Solanum lycopersicum: one gene and its partners. The protein of the gene in region 2 interacts with the protein of the main gene of each other region in a pairwise test. Links are inferred from orthologs where the notes say so. Each region holds a gene or a part of one and is shown on either strand. Other genes may lie near its edges.

What was found.
Region 1: the proteins of histone deacetylase complex subunit SAP18 (region 2) and AP2-like ethylene-responsive transcription factor At2g41710 interact in binary tests that used the Arabidopsis thaliana proteins (3 or more experiments, as listed by UniProt). The link is inferred for Solanum lycopersicum from reciprocal best matches to the Arabidopsis thaliana genes SAP18 and AT2G41710.
Region 3: the proteins of histone deacetylase complex subunit SAP18 (region 2) and HDA1 interact in a two-hybrid assay, tested with the Arabidopsis thaliana proteins (2 studies listed by BioGRID). The link is inferred for Solanum lycopersicum from reciprocal best matches to the Arabidopsis thaliana genes SAP18 and HD1.

What each region holds. Positions count from the first base shown.
Region 1 is NC_090801.1:41,550,778-41,554,390, reverse strand, and holds the end of AP2-like ethylene-responsive transcription factor At2g41710, read right to left. Parts: coding exon 3,601-3,613; intron 3,436-3,600; coding exon 3,427-3,435; intron 3,339-3,426; coding exon 3,250-3,338; intron 3,018-3,249; coding exon 2,944-3,017; intron 2,872-2,943; coding exon 2,821-2,871; intron 2,626-2,820; coding exon 2,564-2,625; intron 2,405-2,563; coding exon 1,782-2,404; intron 894-1,781; coding exon 840-893; 3' UTR 645-839; downstream 1-644.
Region 2 is NC_090804.1:62,359,200-62,363,533, reverse strand, and holds the start of histone deacetylase complex subunit SAP18, read right to left. Parts: upstream 2,901-4,334; 5' UTR 2,812-2,900; coding exon 2,698-2,811; intron 1,310-2,697; coding exon 1,277-1,309; intron 570-1,276; coding exon 459-569; intron 1-458. UniProt on the Arabidopsis thaliana protein: Links the histone deacetylase complex to transcriptional repressors bound to chromatin. Involved in the tethering of the SIN3 complex to core histone proteins.
Region 3 is NC_090808.1:68,206,189-68,210,288, forward strand, and holds the start of HDA1 (histone deacetylase 19), read right to left. Parts: upstream 2,922-4,100; 5' UTR 2,796-2,921; intron 1,533-2,795; 5' UTR 1,503-1,532; coding exon 975-1,502; intron 191-974; coding exon 1-190. UniProt on the Arabidopsis thaliana protein: Responsible for the deacetylation of lysine residues on the N-terminal part of the core histones (H2A, H2B, H3 and H4).

The DNA of each region.
Region 1 (3,613 bases), on a different chromosome or scaffold from region 2:
AAAATCAAATTCACATATTTCTGAGTTTTGACTGAACGAACGACTACATCTGTATCAATATATTTAAGACTCATACCAAAATGAATCGTTGAATTTAAAAGGTCGTACGAGGGGATTAGGATTGATTTTAGTGAAGAATTAAGAGGGATCTGGTGTGTGCGCACCTTTAGCGACCAAATTGACTTGTAGCGATGGGAAGAGACTTTTACCGAGAAGCTGCCCTTCCAAATCTCAAATAAGCAATGAAACGTTCAGAGGAAACCTATGTTGCTTGGACTCTTCTAAAGTATTAACAGGTGTGTATCGGATACTTCAAAAGTAGTGCATTTTAAAACATCCGACACGGGTGCGGCAACATTTTTGGAGAGTCCAAGCAACATAGGAGGAAACTATAGATCAACAGAGGGGGCATCTTGTGTTTCCTGGAGGTTAGGGATGGGTTTCTCAACCAGAAGGAGAGAAATAAATAAGTCAAGCTAGAACCAAGAAGGGCAAGACAAAATTCTACTCAAGTGAACCGCAATAATAAATACCACAATCATGCTTCTATACATTCTTCATAAACTACATGTGGAGAACTCTATAGCATGGAATGATAAGACTCTTAAAAACTCAGATGGACAAATGGAATTGCTAGAGCAACATTGCAGCAACTTGAAAAAGATAAATAAACTAGAGACTTATTTTACAAGTACTGGAACAACATTTAGGTCTATAAAGTTCATAATGGACCAAAAGAAAAAACCCTGTCAAAAGATAAAAGTGTGTATGCCTATGCTTCACAAGACTGCAAACTTACATGTACAGGAAAGTTTGTATCTCACTTGTAGAGGCGAAGGTTAATCTTCTTGTTGAAATAAAGTATAATCTGAACTGGCTTCGCTCTTGTGGACCTGCATGAAAGATCCAGGTTTATGAGATACACATATCCTTCCCATCTAACAAACTTCAGAAAATCACCACTCTGCACAATTTTTCTGTAGGGAATACTTGTTATGTAACCATTCTCAAGTGCTTCTCACCCTTCACTCCATCTTGTAAACATACTAGGATCAATAATTCATTTGAAGTCCTAAACAACAATTATTGGTTATATACAGGACACAGACCTTTTACTGCTTATGCAATCCCACACACTACCAAAAGGCAGTCATTACGACTACATCACAAGTATTATGCTACTCAACATTATATACTACTGAAATTTGCATTTTGTGTAGTCTTTTAAAATTGGAAATGGCATAGTCATGTGGAAGGGTATATGTTATATTGAGGTACCACTAATGGTGGGTGCAAAAGTATGTATTGTTAGATACTAAGTAGGATCTCTTGTTAAAGACCAAGGTCCAGACAAGTCATAACAGAGGCAAGCAGTCAAGGTACAACTAACTGAACATTATCCATTCTTCAAAGAGAAAAGTCATACTAATACTCTTCGTACATCTTAACAACAATCATGATTTTCCCACTTAAATTGCTGGTGGACGTGGATAGTAGAGCTCAGGCTTAGCTAAGTGCAAGTTCCATTAGATGATATAGCTAGGAAACAGTCTGCTGAAGAAAAAATCACTTAAAAATAATTAAATGGACAAAATTGTAAATTAGCAACTTCTTTAATTTGATCTAGTATTCATGTGAAACTAAGCATCAGATGCGAGGAATCATTGAGTCTAGGTGATTATCATTCCACTCCATCAACTTTTTATCCTACTTCCATGTTTCTACACAGATGGGAGTATGCGAAACAAGATAATCTAAGCATTGATAAGAGATAAACTCACCTCAGCAGTCCGTGAAGAACCTGTATGAAAATTAGGAACAATAGATGTCCAAAGAACAGGGTCTGTTAAGGGATCTATGCTGTTGTAGTTAGTGAGAAGTGGTCCTGACAGGAGTGGAGTAAGTGGGTGCAAGTTTCTGTTAATAGATAATCCCCCAGCATTGAGAAATGCAGCTCCAAGCCTCTCACTTCCACTATCAGGACTTGATTTTTCTATCATCTTCCCACGGTCGACTCTGTTGATAGTGCTTTTGTTTTCATTCTCATCATTCTCAACTTTTTCTTTCTTTTTAGCAACCTTCTCTACTAAACTCTTGTATGCTGCAGACTGTGACAAAATGCTCACAGCAGATAATGTTGAGCTTTTATGATTCTTATTTTCTTGGTACACACCCAAACGGGGCATCTCATATGGTTCAGTCTGCTGAATTGATAATTCTGAAGCCCTAAGCTCATTATCAATATCTTCAGGACAACCAACCTTTGTTTCCTCCGATATTTTCAGATGCGAATCTGTTTGACGAGCTTTATTACCTCCCCACCACTTGATGTAACTTGACAAGTCAATCTTTCTATCCATGCAGAAACCACCGATGTACTCATTGTCCACTGTGGCGTTATCACCTTTGAGAAATTTAAAGATTTATAAGATGTGAGTTCAGCCCTGATTTGCTAACTAAATCCTAGGTCTAAAAGGAACTATTTTATTTTTTGAGAATGAAGGTCTAAAATGAACAATTATTAATAGAAAATTTATTTTTGCATGACAATAACTGTACTCACCATAGTGCAGGCTGTTAAAGTAATCAGCTCCAGGCACACGTCCGAATTGCAGATCCCATCGACTACATTGGATGCAGAGAAGAGAAGACGGAAGATATCGTGAATAATGACATCTAAGAAACCCTAATGAATATCAAGATACCAGGAAAAATAGGTAAATGTGAATGTGTCGGGAAATCCCACAGCATTCATCCTTCATCACATAATTTTCAATTCAACAAGTCATATGAATGCAGACTTGATCTGTGCTAGCATACCTGGATAGCGGACGATATTTAGAGATCCCTCTGGAGAAACCACCACTCTTTCTGCAAAGATGAGTTTATGAGGAATCAGCAGATACTCTACCAAACGCATGCATATGCAAACAGCACACCCACCTTCTTAATGATGCAAGATAATCTTCTCTTGAGACATTTTGCATCTCTTCAAGGTCCCTTGTGTAATCTGTCACCTACATAAACAGTCAGAACATTTAGTACATGAAAGTATAGCCATTGCAAAGCACCTGATACAGTTGGGTGCAAAGCTTTAACAGACCCAATATTATGCAAGTAAGGAATTAAGAAAACAAAGCAAGAGAAGAATTGTAGTAAATCCTTGAGAAAGATAGGAAGGAATTAGGAAGGGCTAGATGCCTGTATCGCTTGGTAAACTGACAAAAAAACTAATATTAAACATCTTACTGGGAAATTAATGAGGGTTCCAGGACCCCAATATTTCAAAGCGGCAAGATCATATGCTCTTGCTGCAGCCTCCTCATCATCATATGCTCCTACAACAAATTTTGTTCTCGAAATGTTTAACAGTTTAATCTCCTTTCATGTGCAGTACTTCAGAAAAGGATTACTCAAAATGCTCACCTAAATAAACTGTCCATCCCGATCAAGCAGCAATAAGTGTCCCAATGTCCATGCAATAATAACACTTTCTAAACATCAGTTTTTCACCCAAAAAAAAAAAATGGAGCATCGAGCTGAATTCTGATCAGCATGAAATAGAACCAAAAATATCTGCTAGAGAACAAAGAGAAACACCTTGCTTTCCTTT
Region 2 (4,334 bases):
GATAAATTATCCCAAACATGTCAACCAAACAAGACACCAAACATTTATCCCAGGACTATATATTCTTATCCCTCACACCAAACGACCCCTTACTTTCATGCCAAACATTATCAATATACCAGCTCACAGAGGCCAGAAACTCATAATGCACTATGCTGCACCTAGTTTCAATGAGGTACTATATATAATATATGAACTGAACAACTCAAATACAAGTTATGTACTATGGAGAAAACTCAGCACTCAAAAGATAAAAACAGCTCATCTCCTAGACAATTAGTCATACAAGCGAAGGATAGAAGGCACATTTTTAAGAAAATTGCAACAATATCCCAACATCTTGAATTGCTATGTGCATGCTGGCAGATAGTGAGCATGAGAATATACAAAGAGGAGACAGATAACAACTAAATTGAAGAGACCAGTTAAAAGATATACTGTGTGTTACTTCTTCATACCAGATCAGTTAGTTCGCGCAGAGTAGCATCCATCCATGTATAGATTTGGACCTCATCTTTGGGTTCCTTGCCCCTCACAGCAAATTCATTAACATTGTGATGGCCTCCAACCTGTAAGTTCCAAAGTGAAGCACCCACCGAGTATATCATTAATTAACCATAAAGCAATTCAGGTTTTTGGTTCATACTAGTCTTAAACGTGGTGAAACAAAAAATATGCGTGCATGGCCACTTTTCGGGGAAAATCAACTAGTGAAGCATACGCAAATCATATACATTTCGAAGGCGACGATATGAAAAGCAAAATCTTACAGATAGTTTCATTTACTTTCAGAACTTCGAAAGCTGGTAAAACTTACGGGGTCCTTTGGTAGCCGGATAAGTAAAAAGTTATCCATGTACTAATTTTCATATAACTTATATGACGTTTGGTATGTAGATGGGAAGATGTTAATTCATGTAAAAACTAATACAACGCTTGGTTAACAATTTAGAAACCTGCATAACAAATACATGTTTAAGTTATGAGGGAATCTATGTATTATTTTATGCAAGATAGAAGGTGGAATAACTAATCCATGCATAACTTATTAACTTATCCTTGCATAACTAAGACATGCATAAAATAATACATTGATTCACTCATAAGTCATAACTAATCCCTACACTGCTAATACATGCATAAGTCTAACCAGCTACTAAACGACCCCTTAGGGTTATTCGAAAGGTCTTTGTCTTGCTCGTGGTTATTCCATTATAAAAATTCACCTTCTATCAAAACAGAAAAACAAAAAATAAAGCTCGATTGGAGAACATACCTTAGTGAAAACACGAAGCAACAGAGGACAAGTCTGGTTTTCGATGGTATCCCCAAAAGAAACAAAAAAAAAAGGTTTTGTAAGTAATTTCCAGTATGCAAAGAATACATTATGTGCTATGAACACACATTAGCATAGCAAGTACGAACAAAAAATGCAAAAGATACATGCCAACTTGCTGATAAAGAGAAAACACACAAAAATAAAACAATCATTAGATTACTCAGCATGTATGGTCTCAACATAATACAAAGTGATGCCAGGTCTCAGATCATATATTTCTAGTATCAGTTGAAATCCATTTTCTTCAACATGGTAAGCAGCTAGTACAACAAACAACACAAGTGCCTGCATGCCTTTTTACCTTGTTAGTCTGCCCAAGCTGAGAAGGAGGAAGGGCAAGCAAGCGTCCATTCTTTTGAAAGTAAATGTAAAAGCAAACCAGACAAAATTCTATTTATCAAGGTGTATGACATGAATTAACCATAACAGCCCATTCGGTGATCGGTACTGTACCAAATGACGGGCATTGTCTCTTCACAATTCACAGCTTCTTTTCTGGCAGGCTAAAGGTCTTTTTTGGGGGTACATTTGCTAAAAGCTAATGCACGTACATATCCTTGATATAGTCCTATATAAAATCAGAATAGACGTGGAAGAAGTAGTATATCACCATTGCATTTTATTTTTCTTCAATTTACATAGTGGTGTATTCTCCTTTAACTTCTAAATTCTCAACCTTACATTTGTTTTTGGGATCTTGTGTTAAACTTCCATTTACCAAATCAAATTTCATTCCTTGAATAATAATACACCAACCAGAGTAAGACTCGTCAAATTAGTATTGAAAAAAAAGGAGTCCAAATAGAGCAAAATGATATGGTCAGCCCAACAGTTGCAGAGGTGAGATTTTCACTAGAGGTTCATAAACTTGAACTCGCGAATTAGCCATACGCATAATTTTAATACTTAAAAGTGTGGCCAATGAAGTGGTTGATAGTTATGAAGTCTCTTGTAAGCAAATCTGGGCAGAGATTAAAAAACACTAGGTGATTCCTCTCATCTGTTTTAGCCTTGGTGGAACATGTTGCTGGTGTGAGGTAACAGGTATGTGGAATTAGTCGAAGTGCACAATAGCTCACTCGGACACCATGGTCATAAAAATAACACATAATTCTAACTATGTATATACACATGCATATAATTTTCCGTCTCAGAGTTGTTGTTGAACAGCAATACACTATAAGATCTTTTCTAAACAAAACCCTAGCGAGAGTCTGCAACATAACAATTGCTTCAAAAAATCAAAAAGCAGAAGCACAAGCTACTTCACTCCAAAAACAACCTAATCCGTAACCAAACCAGTGTAACCTAAGTCAGAAACAGAGGATTCAGGCAAGAAAGAAAGGAAAAAGTAGGACCTTTTCGCGATCAACTGGTACGGGGCGTGGAGCAATCCTTTGAGGAGGTGGACCATGTGGACCTCTGGGTGGAGGAGGAGGTAATGGTCTTCCTCTTCTCTGAACATCCGCCATTGTTGTTCACTCCGGTCTCCGACGGTCTGTCACGCTTTAATACAACAGAGGTTTAAGCAAAGTTTTCTAGCTTTGGATCTTCATCTTGGGCCTTATATTATTAGAACCCTGTTGGGCTTTAATAAAATTGAAATAGGGGAAATTGTATATAATAACAAACTAATAACCTAAAATAAATGGAGTAGCCAGGGTTTGATATAATTGTGCTCCATAGCAAACGTTTGCAAAATATTGCCAGGCGCCTCTCTTCCAAATATCTCGCTCGCCACTCTTCTCCAATCTCTCGCTCGCTTCCTCATTTTTTATACAAACACAAGTGTATAAAAATTGTTTCTAATTGATAAAGCAGAGAAAATTGTATAAATACATATATTTTTGTTCCCACTATCTTCCTTCTTCCATATCTCGCTCGCCACTCTCCCAAATCTCGCTCGCCACCCTCGCATTTCTCACTTATACAAACAGAAGCGAAATGTATAAATTGCGTTTCTGTTTGTATAAAGCGTGAGAAAATTGTATATAGATATGCAAGTACATATATTTTCGTCCTAAACACTTATAATTATATAAAAATGCTCCCCTGCTAGTTTCTTTTGTCTATCTCTCTTTCTCGTTTTATACAATTTTCAAATTCTATCTAATTTCTCTCTTTCTCGTTTTATACAATTCAATTCAATTGTATATTCCTTGTCAAGTCTCTTTTGTCTTTCTCTCTTTCTCATTTTATACAAATTTGAATTGTATAAAATCGTTCTATACACTTATAATAATACAATTCGTTTTATACACTTCGTTTTTATACAGTTCTTTGCCCAAGTGTCTTTCTCTTTCTTGTTTTATACACTTTGTTTTATACAATTTGCTTCAATTGTATATGTATAGCGAACTATACAGTTTTTATGTTTGCTATGGAGCGCAATTATGCAAACTTTGCTATAGCATACAAATATAAATTTAAATTTGTTATATGTGAAAGTTGCCCAATTAAAAATTTGGTATAGAATAAAATGGCCATTTTTGTATTTTTGGGGTCAAAGAAGAGTCCCTTCTTCTATTCTTCTACCTATGAAACGAGTCTCTCTTTTATTCATTAAAGAAAATTAGCACCACATGACCTATAAAACTTATATAGGTGTTTTTTTCTAGTAATTTTTTCATTGTGTACTTAAAAATAAAACGTTGTTTCTGTTGGAAGTTTTAGCCTCTTCATTTGAGGCATTTTATCATAGGAAGTGTAGGTCTCCTTTTGATTGGTTTAGGGTTAGCGAAGTGAATTTGATAACGCCCAAGTCGATTCCTGAGGTTATGGAGAATGATCGACCTACTAGAAATAAGTTGAGAACGGTCTAGAACAGATAGAAATTTTATGTCGATGTGAGAGGAGAGAGAGCTTGAATATATTGTAGATGATTGGATTTATTTGAAAATTTCACCCATAAAGGGCGTGATGAAGTTTGGTAAGAAAGGGAAGTTCAATCCCCGATATGTAGGTTTTTATCAGATTTTGAGGCATTTTGACAATG
Region 3 (4,100 bases), on a different chromosome or scaffold from region 2:
TTCCATCATCTAGTGGAACATTTAGAGAGTAGTATTTTCCACTTCCATAACCAATATCACGTACATCCCCTGTACCAGGAAAGTAATCTCCAAATTTATGAAAGGAAACTGTCATGACCCTATCTGTAGTATAGAAGGCCTCTTCCACGCCATCACCATGATGGATATCAATATCCACATACAATACTCTCTGCAACAGTGATATAAACAAGGTAAATTAGCAATGAAGAACTTATACAGCTTAGGAATGTAAATGTGATTATTATGTGTTGGATGTAAGCGTACGATTGACATTTAGTTAATGATTGTAAAGCTAACACCAACTTAACCAGTTTCAAAACAAAATTAAAAAAGAATTGTAAAGTTAACATTGTGTTGTTTTGTTGATAATTCTAAAGCTAATAAGAACATGTCATAGTGGGTTAAAATGAAATGGAAGGAAGAGTAGTGAGGGATGAGAGGTTAACGCCATTTCTTGTTTTGATTACAGAAAACGACTCGAGTAGAATTTTATATATACAAGATACTCCCAAAAAAAAATCCAATTTCAACTTAGCTTTTGTTTTGATTACAGATTTCATTGTAGCTGTCCCATATTTCAACGTTGATTTTTGGTCAAAGTATCCAAAACCGGTTGACTTAAGCCGGTACGGCTCCCACACCCACACCCATGTCGTGTCAACACAGATGCGATACCGAAAGTAAAGAGTCCGAGCAACTTACTCTCTAACCTAATCCAATGAGGCTAGTTATTTTATTTAATGTGTTTTCCTGAAGAGTACATGATAACATAGCCTGTCCATGGGATGGCTGATTATCACAATATCACAACATAGCTTGGTGACACGATGTCAATGTGTGAATAGTAAAGGAATAGTGAGAAAATGTGAAAAATGTGTCCTGACCAATTTTGTCAATCAGTCAATCAACCTCCATTTGGAAAAAAGTGAGTAAGAACAGCAATAATGAAATACCTCATGGACTTTGAGTAGCTCCAGAATAGCCAACACGATATCGTTCACATAGCAGAAACCAGATGCTTCACATTTCTTGGCATGATGCAATCCACCAGCCCAATTTACAGCGATATCACAGTGTCCATGGTTCAACTTAACTGCCCCACCAACAGAACCTCCAGCGTAGGTTTGGCAGAAGGAATAAAGACCATCAAAAACTGGACAGTCCTCCCCGACATTGAACCTCTTCAGCTGCCTCAGCTGATCTTGCTGTGTTTCTGGTGTTACGCTTCTCAAGAAAGCAATATAATCATCAGCATGAAACCTACAGAGATCCTTATCTCTAGCAGGATTTGGCTTCAGAACATGCATGTGTTGTAATAGACCATAGTGGGCAAGAAGAGCATGTGTCATCCGCATTCTATGTGGCTTCATTGGATGGCCTTGTCCATAATAGTAATTACCAACTTCAGGATCATAGAAATAACTTACTTTTCTCTTCTTTCCATCTGCACCAGATGCTAAGGAGTTTCCTCCAACATCCATTTCCCAAGCTATAAACCAGTAAGGATAAACCTTTAACAGATGGAAAGCAAAGGCATAAGGACAATTCAGCAATACAAAGTAAATCTAAACACATATTCACAACCAACAAAGGATGTTGACGTAAATACATATATTTAGATCTTTTCTCTTAGAATAAAGAATATAAATCATTAAAAAAAAAAACAAAGAGTAAGGCATGATTAAATATGGACACCCAAACAGAAACAGAAGACACCACCATACACTAATACTAAGAAGGGTGTAGAGTCATTATGACTTGCCAAATTGGGTTTAGTTTGGAAGAATTAGCCCCAAAATACAATAACAATAAGAAAACTACTTCGCCTCAATCCCAAACTAGTCAGAGAATTAGTCCAAAAAATAAGCTTCAAAATGGAGAAAATTTTGAGTACAGTCTAAGAGTCAACGTAAGACAGCAAAAACAACAATTGGTAAAACTATGATAATATCTAGTCAGTTTCAGCAAGAAGATGATTTATTCATGTAACCACACAGAACATGTTATCTTTTCTTCATCACCAAAAATTGCTTCATCCTGCCTAAAGACACTAAAGCTTGAATTTAATCACTATAACACAAAGTACATCAACCACACTGAAACAAAACAAAGTATTTTTCTTTTATACTAATAATAAAAACAATACTTCTTCATAGACAGAAAAAAACACACAACTGAACATATAAAATACAGAAATAAGCCTCTCAACAGTACATGTGAGCAAATGAATCCAGAATCCAAAACCTTAGTATAATTTAGCAGCTCCTAATACAATATGCAAACATGAAACCCCCACCCCCACCCCCACCTCAAAATCCACCAAAATAAAAAGCATAAAGACTCAATTTTGTTGCATTTAAGAGTACTTAAAGTTCAAAACTTTTGATAGAACCACACAATCAGCAAGATTCAACAAACCCCATCAAACAAATCAATAGTACTTTAACTACATCAAATTTTTCAACCAAAATTTTAACAAAAACACCCATATTCCCACTTATTTTTACTTAAATCTCCTCAACTAACAACCCAAATAAGCAAATTGCAAGAACCAACCAACCAATCATGGCCAAGACCCATTTTTTTTGCTCAAACACCCATATAGCCAAAAGGGTACTCAGTTAAACCATATACCCAACAATCTGTACAAGAAAAACAGTAAAGACAACAACTTTCCCATTCTTTTTCCCCCTCATATGTTAATACAACAATTTAGAGTCCAATAAATGAAGGGGTTGTTTGGGGGTAGGGGGGGATTGACAAGAAGAGCTAACCTGAAAGTGAAAACCAGAAGAAGCGGCCACTACAGTAGAGATCGCTAAAGGTTGAGTAGAGAAGAAAAAACCAGATGTAAAATATATTTATGTCTTCAAACTAATGGAAAATATATACACATTTATTTATTTATTTTTCAAATATCAATTAATTAATATTGTCCCAATTTTAACACTTTATTTATTTATTCATTTATCTTTCGAATATCAATTAATTAATATTGTCCTAATTCTAATACATATTGGATTTAGTTATATGAATTTTGGCAAATTATTCATGTCTTTTCTTTGTGTCAAGTTATTCTAATATTTACTTTTTTCATGATACTTTTAGAACTTGTTATAATTATAAATTAATTTCTACAAATGTATAATAATCCTTTCTTCCTCTTTCTTATTAAAAAATAAAGGAATTTTCACATAAAGCACTTAAAAATAACCTAATTACTTTCATAGCTATAGGGAGGAGAGAGAGGAGCAAGATTGAGAGAGAGGAGAGAGGCAAGCGAGGGAGGACAAAGATTGGTAGAAGGCGAATTGTATATATATATATACATACATATATATATATACATATCTATATATATACATATATACATATCTCTCTCTCTCTATATATATATATATATCGGTTAGATATTTGTATATTATATATATGTAATTGTATATATGGAAAAACGAGATTGGGAGAGAGAGAAGAGAGGTGAGTGAGTTTGGGAGAGGGAAGAGAGAGGCGAGCGAAATTGAGAGAGGCGAGAGAGAGCGCAAAGAGTGGGAGAGAGGTGAATTGTATATTATATTGGTTAGATAAGTGTATATCATACATATGTATTTGTATATTCTGCCGAATTATACATATACAAACGTGACTAATCATACAAACTCGAAGTCAACCCACATAATTAATGTATAATGTTAGTTGCTTGTAATAATTATAGCAAACTATAATTATAATGAGTAATTAAGTAGTATAAATTTACTTAACCCCGTAATTTTCAAAAAAAAAATCAAAATATAATGATCAAATATATATGTTTAATCTTAACATATAAAACAATTTAAACTTTGTTTATACATAATGACAATTTAGGTGAGTATATAACACAATAACTCAAGTTCCATCAAGTTCGTCAGCTTAAAAATTAGTTATAAGTATATTTTACATTACATATTAATATTAATTAATCAGAGCTAATAAATTTTGTTTTTGTTTCCTCAAACGTGTTAAATAATTTTTATGTTTGGTTAAAATCATAAATGTGATGATAAATATAACACTCTATAAATTATGTGGAAAAAAAAAAC